Linked DNA regions of Alligator mississippiensis. The protein of the gene in region 1 purifies or fractionates together with the protein of each later gene. This does not show direct contact. Links are inferred from orthologs where the notes say so. Each region holds a gene or a part of one and is shown on either strand. Other genes may lie near its edges. The genes, in order: TADA1 and ATXN7L3.

Region 1 (3,906 bases):
CCTAGAGTCACCGCTTCTCTGGAAATGCCACAGGACCCAGCGCACTCCCCTCCCGGCTCCCATCAAGTTTAATGGGGGCATCTGAATTCCCAGGCCTGGGGCTTGCATGTAGGATGCCAGCCTGGTTTAAAATAGAGCAGGGGGATATTGGCAGACATGGAGACGGGGCTGAGATATTTGGGGATTGGAATTTAATTGCCTTTGGACTGAAATACTTATACATACAATACAGCATATAGAGGATGGAAGTACGTGTGTGTGGGGGTATCTACCTCTCTATCTAAAGGGATATAGATATATAATGTATATATCACTTCTGTATACTAAATTACGTGTATAAGTATTTTAGCTTTTAAATTGGAATTTAATTGACTGAAATACTTATAAATATATATACTTATACACACACACACACACACACACATATATGTAAGTATACTTATATATGTGTAAGTATATATATGTTTATAGCTATACTTATATAATACATGCGCACGCACACACACATCTATACACACACATATTTGTCTCACCTCTATATACTATATTATATGTATAAGTATTTCAGTCCAAAAGCAATTAAATCCCAAATACGTGTGCGCGCGCGCAGATACGTGTCTAGCTACACGTACATAAACACATCTCTCAGCACAGGAGGCAGGCAGCTTGGCTCAGCCCCTCGCCTCTCGGAAGCACAGCCCGCCGCGGGACGCGGGAGCCGAGCCGAGCCGACCGAGCCCAGCCCAGCCCAGCCCAGCCCAGCGCCCCGTCCCGTCCCCGCCGTCACTCACGAGTCCCCCAGGAAGTCGTGGAAACGGATGCGGCCGTACGTGGTGTCCGCCTCGAAATTGGGGGCCTCGTCCCCGAGCAGCAGCCCCGGCATGGTTATGACTGTGGCTGTGGCTGTGCCTGTGGCAGCACCCGGCGCACAGAGCAGCTGCGTGGGAGTGCTGGCGCGGCGCGTCGCTGCGCGGCAGCAGGGCGGGGGCGGGGCGGGGCCCCAGGCAGAAGCGGACGCGGGCTCAGCCCCGCCCCGAGTTGGGGGTGTTACATGACCCTCCCCCCCTGACCAGCGCAACATCCCGGAAGCAAGCGAGGCGCGGGCGGTAGCTACGACACACAAGAGGCGGCCGGGGTTGATTGCGCGGTTGCCGCGCGCCGCCGAGCGTGCGCCGCGGCGCGGGAGGGAGGTCGGGAGCTCGGGTGCTGCCGCCGCGAGCAATGGCGACTTACGTGAGCGAGCTGGAGGCGGCCAAGAAGAACCTGAGCGAGGCGCTGGGCGAGAACGTGAAGCAGTGAGTGCGCTCCGGCCGCCCCGCCCCGCATCCGCGCCCGGACACTCGGCCCCTCTCTTGGGGCTGCAGACGTGTGTGCAGCCCCTTCTCCTGTCCCAGGCTCATGCCATCCCGCCGGGCCCCTGCTTCAGGGCCCGGGGGCTTAGCTAGGCCGGCCCCGCTCCGCCGCCTTCCTTCCCTCCTGCAAAGCCTAGCCTGGCAGCGTTGCCCGCCGGCGAGGGGCCTGGGCCCGAGTTCCCCGGCTCCGCCGCGGGGCTGCTGCTGCCTACTGGGCAGGGGCTGGAGCCGGGCCACGGGCGGGGCAGGTCTCGCAGCACCGCGGTGATTATCCCGCCCCACTGCAGGCGTCGGGCTTAGAAACATGGAGCTGGTTTCTATCCCGCTTTCATTTGACCGTGCAGGAGGGCCCGTGTATCTCTCCGTAAACTGGTCAGTCGTGCCATAAAAGTAAACCCGCCACACATGCGAAATACTTATCAGACAGTTACTCGATTAATCGTGCAATAGATGTAGCCCTGCCACATGCGCACAATAATCATTATTGCACAATTAACTGGTGTAGACTGGCCACAATTGCAAAGTAACGATCACAGGATTAAAAGGACTATGCAGCTACAAAAAGAGCAGGCCTGCTCTAGAGTGAGTGCTTGAAAATGTGTAACAAGTGTAGAGGCGGTTTTGATTGGGCTTTAATTTGAACATGTAGCAGAGCCCTTAGTTTAAGACTGAAACAAAAAGAAAGTTTAAAAAAAGGCAACTTCAGGGAGGGTTGTGGAATAGGAGCTTTGTGACCAGGAGCAGTGAAGAGACAGCAGCGTGGCAGAGGAAAGGCTAGATTGATTGGTGCAACATCAAGACAATTAAAAATGCCTGTGGGATGAAGAGTTTAGAAGGGATCAAGTAATCAGGGTGGGCAAAGTTCAGCTGTCAGTGGACTTCATTTCCCAGTAGTCCCTGCCCAGGTGGCTGGGGTCAGTTTCTGTGGAGACTAGCCCCAGCAGCAGCACTGTCAGACAGCAGCAGTGCCAGACTCTTCCTGTGGGAGGGGCTGTGCTGCAGGTGGGAGCGGGGAAAGCTCAGCTGCCAATGCCTGTGCAGGACAGGCAGCAGTGGTGGTGCTGCTTGGAGGGGAGGCTATAGGGGCCTACTGGAAATTTTGGGGTGGCTATATCCCCCCTCTAGTGCCACCCTTGCTGGGAGGGCAGGGAGCTGCTCTGGAGCCTGCCTGAGATCTTGCAGCGGTGACAGCATGGTCTGGAGCCAGGGCAGAGCTGCAATCTGCAGCCTGCATGCTCCGGGCAGGGGTGTGCAGGCAGTGGATCATGGCTCTGCACTGGCTTTGGACCACACTGTCACCACTGCAAGGAGCCTGGACCCTGCCCAGATCGTGCAGGCTGTAGATCACAGCTCTGGCCTGGCTTTGGGCCACATTGTCACTGCTGCACGATCCCAGCTGGGCTCCGGAGCAGCTCTGCGCCCTGCTGTGAACCCTACCAGTGCTGCTGGGGTTGGTTTTCATGGAAACTCTGGCCTTGCACTATCACAGCCTAGCTGCTGCTGGGGTCTCCACACAGGCATGGGCTGCTGGGAAATGGAGTTCATTCATCAGCCAGATCTACCATTTTGTCCACCCCTGGGCTAGATGGTAATAAGCCATGAAGCCAAGCGACTTTCTCAACATTGCCTGACTAGAAATGCTGCAGCCACTGCCAGGCAGTTGGCTTTAACCTTTGGACCCAGGAATCAAAGAGGGGGTACACATGCACCAGTGCAGCCCCCACCCTAGAGCCAACCCAAATGGCTTTTTTACAGGTTCAATAACATGCTACATGCTTCTGTTTGTATAAGCAGCCTTGCAGGAAATCAAGCAGGTTCCGTTGGCTTCAGTTCCTTGTTTTCTCATGCAGCTCCACAGAAAAACATTTTGCATCTTTGCACCTGCTTCCCCATCTGCAAAAGAATGGCAATGGCATTTGTATCCACTGTAAAATGTGTTTTGAGATCTATGGAGCTATGTGGTGTTTGTAGCAAGCCATAACTTTAGCCCACAATCCCCCCGCCCCCCCCAGTTGATTATTTTAACTCAAAGGGTGTAGAAACAGCATTAAGGTCAAAGAATGGTGTTGCAGTAGTATCAGTGCTATAATAGCAGTTCTAGCACCAATATAAAGAACTATTGTCACTCAAAAAACATGCCCATCATCAGGGTAGACTTGATTTAAATCTATTTAAATCACAATTTAAATAACTGGTCAGAGAACCTCGATTTTAATCACTGTTTTCTACAAAAAGTGCATTCTTGTTGTTTGATATAACCTTAATACATATTATTCACAACTCTGAGATAGGTGTAGCTTTCATTTTTGGAAAGTACACTATACATTTAAAGTGGTGATTTATTTTGAGTTTTTTTTCAGATTCATTTTGCAGCTACATCAGAAAATTATGATTTGGTTATTTTATTTACCAAAGCTAATTGAAGCAGGTACTTGTAAGGTCACTGGGAGGTGAACCATCTCCAGTTCACTAGATTAATCATAGATATGGGGGGGATGTTTTTACCTTGCTGCATTAGGACATCAAATGAGCTCTGAGCCGTATATTGTTATTA
Region 2 (3,906 bases), on another chromosome or scaffold:
TGCAGTGCTGGTGGCATCTATTACACCCCCTTGAATTCCTAGATCTGCCCATTGTATGGCACCAAGGGACTGGACTGAGCAAATGATTTCTGAAGCGAGGAGCAAAGTGGGCTGCCAAGCATCTGCACTCAGCAGGGCACAAGGGCTGTCAGCCGTGCAGCTCCCCTGCTGCTGCAGCCCTGTCCAGAATATTTTAAGCTTAGGTCCTAACTCCCTCACTGCCTTCTAAAAGACCTGCCTGCCTCATCCAGGTACTCCAAACAGCTTAGATGGGCTTTCAGATGTGTAAGGGCCACTGCACTGCCTTTTGTAAGCATGAGGCAAGGTGCACAGCGGTGGAGAGCCAGGCCATGTGGGTGCTGGAGGAAGTGGCATGTGGGGAGGGGATTGAGTCACTGGCCTTCTTGTGCCTGTATTTTAACAGCTCCAGAGTGGCACTAGATGTCGCTGTGCTACCCCAGAAGCTGGACTGGGAGCAGTCATTTATACATTCTCTGCACCAGGGAACAGCTGCTTGGTGACCCGGAGAGCCTTTGCTCCCATTGCCCTGGTGTACCTCACTAGAAAGGGAACCAGGCTGTTGGCTCTGGAGAAAGGGCTAATAGCTCTGAGCTCGATGGTGGGTCAAGGCAGTCTGGACACACTTTACGAGCATCAGAGTAGGGAGTAAACCCCAGCCCATTTCCTACTTTCCAGTGCAGGTACCTGCAGCCCCCCTCCATTTGATCCCTGCTTTGCGGCCCTGCCTTCGCACTACCCGTCCTCCTGCCTCCGAGAGGCCTGCGTGCCCTCAAACCAAACAGTGGGCAGGCTCTGGCCCTGAAGCAGCTGCCTTGGTGGGAGCGCATGCAACCAGCTTTGGCGCCTGCCTGTGCTTGCCTAGCAAGGCTGCGCCAGCGGCACTGGGGCCGTGGGGTAGCCAGCTTTCTCCCTTCCCCTTTCCCTGCTGCTGGGGCCTCTCCCTTCTTGGGCAGCTGTTGCAAGCCAGGGGCTGGTGGCGGGGGAGGCAGCATGGGCAGGCCCAGGGGCAGCCAGGGCAGCATTGGGCGTGTGGGTGGGGAGCCCCCTGGCCTAACGGAACACTTGCTATTATGGGCTGCCTGGCAGCGGTTGCTATGGCAGGCCAAGCAGGGGGAGTCTCCCCTCCCATCCCTGGGGAGCCCCGGAGCCCCCCGGCCCAACAGAACCCGGGCTGCTATTATGGGCTGCCTGGTAACGGTTGCTAGGGCCGGCCAAGCTCCAGCTGCACGAGCGCGGGGCTACTGAGAGGGAAGAGGCATCTACAGCGGCAGGTCAGCACCAGCCCGCGGACGGGCACGGCTCCCTCCCGCTGTGGATTCCCTACGGTCCGCGACAGGGTGGCGGAGAACTGGCGGCCCCTTTGTGCGCAGTTCGCCCGCCCCCGGCCCCGCCCCCACGCGGCGCACCGCAGCCTGAAACACAGCGGCCTCGCGGATTGGCCGCCGCCGCGCCGCCTCGCCCGCCCATTGGCCCGCCCGCGCCCAGCGGGGTAGGCTGTGCCTCTCGCCCCGCCGCCCCGGCTGCCAGTCCTACTGCCGCCGCGGCCCGGGCTGAGGGAGCGGGGCGGGGCAGAGCGGGGCGGGGCGTGCTCGGCCACCGCCCGCCGGGCCGGGCCGGGCATGGGGAGGCGGGGGCTGGGCATGGGGCGGCGCGGGCCGGGCGGGCGCCGCCGGGGCGGCCGGCACTGAGCGGCCGCCGGCAGCGCCGCACGGCACGGCACGGCCGGGGTGAGTCAACGCGCGGGCGGGCGGGGCCGTGGGAACAATGCGCGCAGGGCCCTGCCCCTGCCGCCCGGGCCGGGCCGGGCCGGGCCGGGGCAGGAAGCCGCGGCGTTTCCTCCCTGGCTGGCGCGGCGGGGGCCCGCCCCGCCCCGCCCCGGCCGCACAGCAGCGGCGCCGTGCTCAGCGGCGGCCGGAGGCTGCGGGGGGAGCTCCCCCGCCATGAGCTGAGCCCTGGCGCCGATGCCCCCCTTTGCGTTGGCCCGGCCCGGCCGCACTCGTGGCGGGGCAGTGCAGCCCGAAGCAGCCCCCGGCCGGCTCGGCCCGGCTCTGCGGGTCTGGCTGGCGGAGGACAGCACAGCCCCTAGCAGCCGTCTTTGGGCCACTGTTTGGCAGCAAACCCCGTTCTCCCAGCTCTGGCTCCGTCCTGGTGCGGAGCCTGCCTCGGCCCTGGCCGTCCTCACTCGTGCTGTGCCCAGGTGCCAGGACTCACCTGCTGCTCCCTGTCCCCCTGGCTGCCAAGGCAGGGAGGCTGTTTTCTAGGGAGGGCCTCTGCTGGCCTGGGAGAGGCCTTGTTTACCACGGCAAGCTGGCCTGAGGGACAGGCCCAGTTTCTGGGGGATGAAATGCCATGGCTCCTGTGGCTGGGTGCCTCCAGCCTGGAGCTGGGCACCCCTGGGCAGCTGACAGGTGTCATGCTGAGGCGGGTGCCCACTATTGGTATCCATCTGTAACGGGAGTCTGCAATGATGATGGAGACTCCCACCAAGACGTGGGCCCTGCCCTGAGAGATGCAGCACATCCCATGAGACAGATGTTCCCTGTTTTGAGGAGCCTGTAGTCTCAGCTGGCCAGACAAGGGGATCTTCTTCCCTGTGGAGCCTCAGCCATGCTGGTCATGTCAACAGAGTCAGTGTAGATGCAGCATGTGCTGAAGGGAGAGGTTTAAGACTTGCTTTCACTCTTCCCCCCTCTCCCCCCCCTGCAGCAGGTGTTAGTACAGCTGTGCCCTGATGGCAGGGATTGCTCTCATGGCAGGGGGATGGTAAAGGATCTTTATACAGCCCCTCTGACTGTCAGTGAAGCCAGGAGGTTGGAGGGGAGACAGGACCAGAGAGGGGCAGCAACTTGCCAGTGGTCACACAGCAGGGACAGCTCAGAGGGGAACCCAGGTGTCCTAAGTCTCTGTTATCAATAGGTCATGATATCTGCCTTCTCTGCCTAGGCCAAGGTCATACACAGGATGGAGAAAATGCCCCCTGAAGTATCCCTGGAGCTCTGTGCATGCCCCAGTGGCTCCCTGGGCCCTGCCCTCTCCTGTGTTTCAGGGGCTCTGCAGACCTTCCTTGTGCCCTGCACTAGGGGTTCTGTGGACTGCCCTGTGCTCTGCCATGACCACCGCTCTTTCTGCCGGAGAAAGGGAGGTTTGCAGAGCAGAAGTGGAGTTGGATGTTCACTGTTAGTGGTTGACACATACAAATTCTGTGCTGTGTAGAGAGTGCTGGACTTGGCTGAAGCTGGCAGGGCATTGTGTTCCCCCATCTCCACCAGATTTTATTTGCAAACACTTTGCTTACTGATGCCTAAAAGGATTGGGCAGGCAAGGCAGTGTTGCAGGCAGTGGGGTGGAGGGACAGTGTTTGGCAGCAGGGGCAGGGGCAGGTTCCGCTCCTGGCTCTGTCTGGCCTGGTGTCTGCTTCTGATTCCCATGCCTGTTAATGGGTTGAGGATGGGGGCAGGGCTTCCAAAGAGAGAATCTGTTCTGTGGGGTCGTCTTAGCAGCTCTTGTGTAGAAGGGGCCCTCCTAGGGACCAGGGAGCCATTGACAAACACTGGTGCCTGTGGCTTCCAGACAGAACAACCTCAGGATCACAGACCATGACTTCATCACTCTCCTGCCACCTCCAGGCTCTAGCATGAGCTGACCCTGCCTAGTGACCCCTGATGATAGATGACCTGCTGTGGGAAGGGGCAGCAGCCTCATCTCTGCTCTAGGTGGGGTTGTGCACCCTTGGGGTTCAGCACAATTGGTTCCCTAGTGACTGGTCTTGGCACTGGAGATAAAGAGCTTTGTGGGCTGCACGGAGCTGGGTCATGGATCCTTGGTTCCTGTGAGACGCAGCATGGCTCTGAGGGTGCTGTGGCATTGTGCTGCCCTCTCTGGCAG

What was found.
Region 2: the proteins of TADA1 (region 1) and ATXN7L3 purify together in Homo sapiens (affinity purification with mass spectrometry; 6 studies listed by BioGRID and IntAct, counting the BioPlex papers as one, with this or other methods). This does not show direct contact. The link is inferred for Alligator mississippiensis from reciprocal best matches to the Homo sapiens genes TADA1 and ATXN7L3.

The regions. Positions count from the first base shown.
Region 1 is NC_081828.1:43,836,745-43,840,650, forward strand, and holds the start of TADA1 (transcriptional adapter 1), read left to right. Parts: upstream 1-1,058; 5' UTR 1,059-1,221; coding exon 1,222-1,295; intron 1,296-3,906. Other genes in the region: PRDX6 (peroxiredoxin-6), read right to left, coding at 792-883. UniProt on the Homo sapiens protein: Probably involved in transcriptional regulation.
Region 2 is NC_081827.1:159,444,891-159,448,796, forward strand, and holds the start of ATXN7L3 (ataxin-7-like protein 3), read left to right. Parts: upstream 1-1,564; 5' UTR 1,565-1,748; intron 1,749-3,906. UniProt on the Homo sapiens protein: Component of the transcription regulatory histone acetylation (HAT) complex SAGA, a multiprotein complex that activates transcription by remodeling chromatin and mediating histone acetylation and deubiquitination.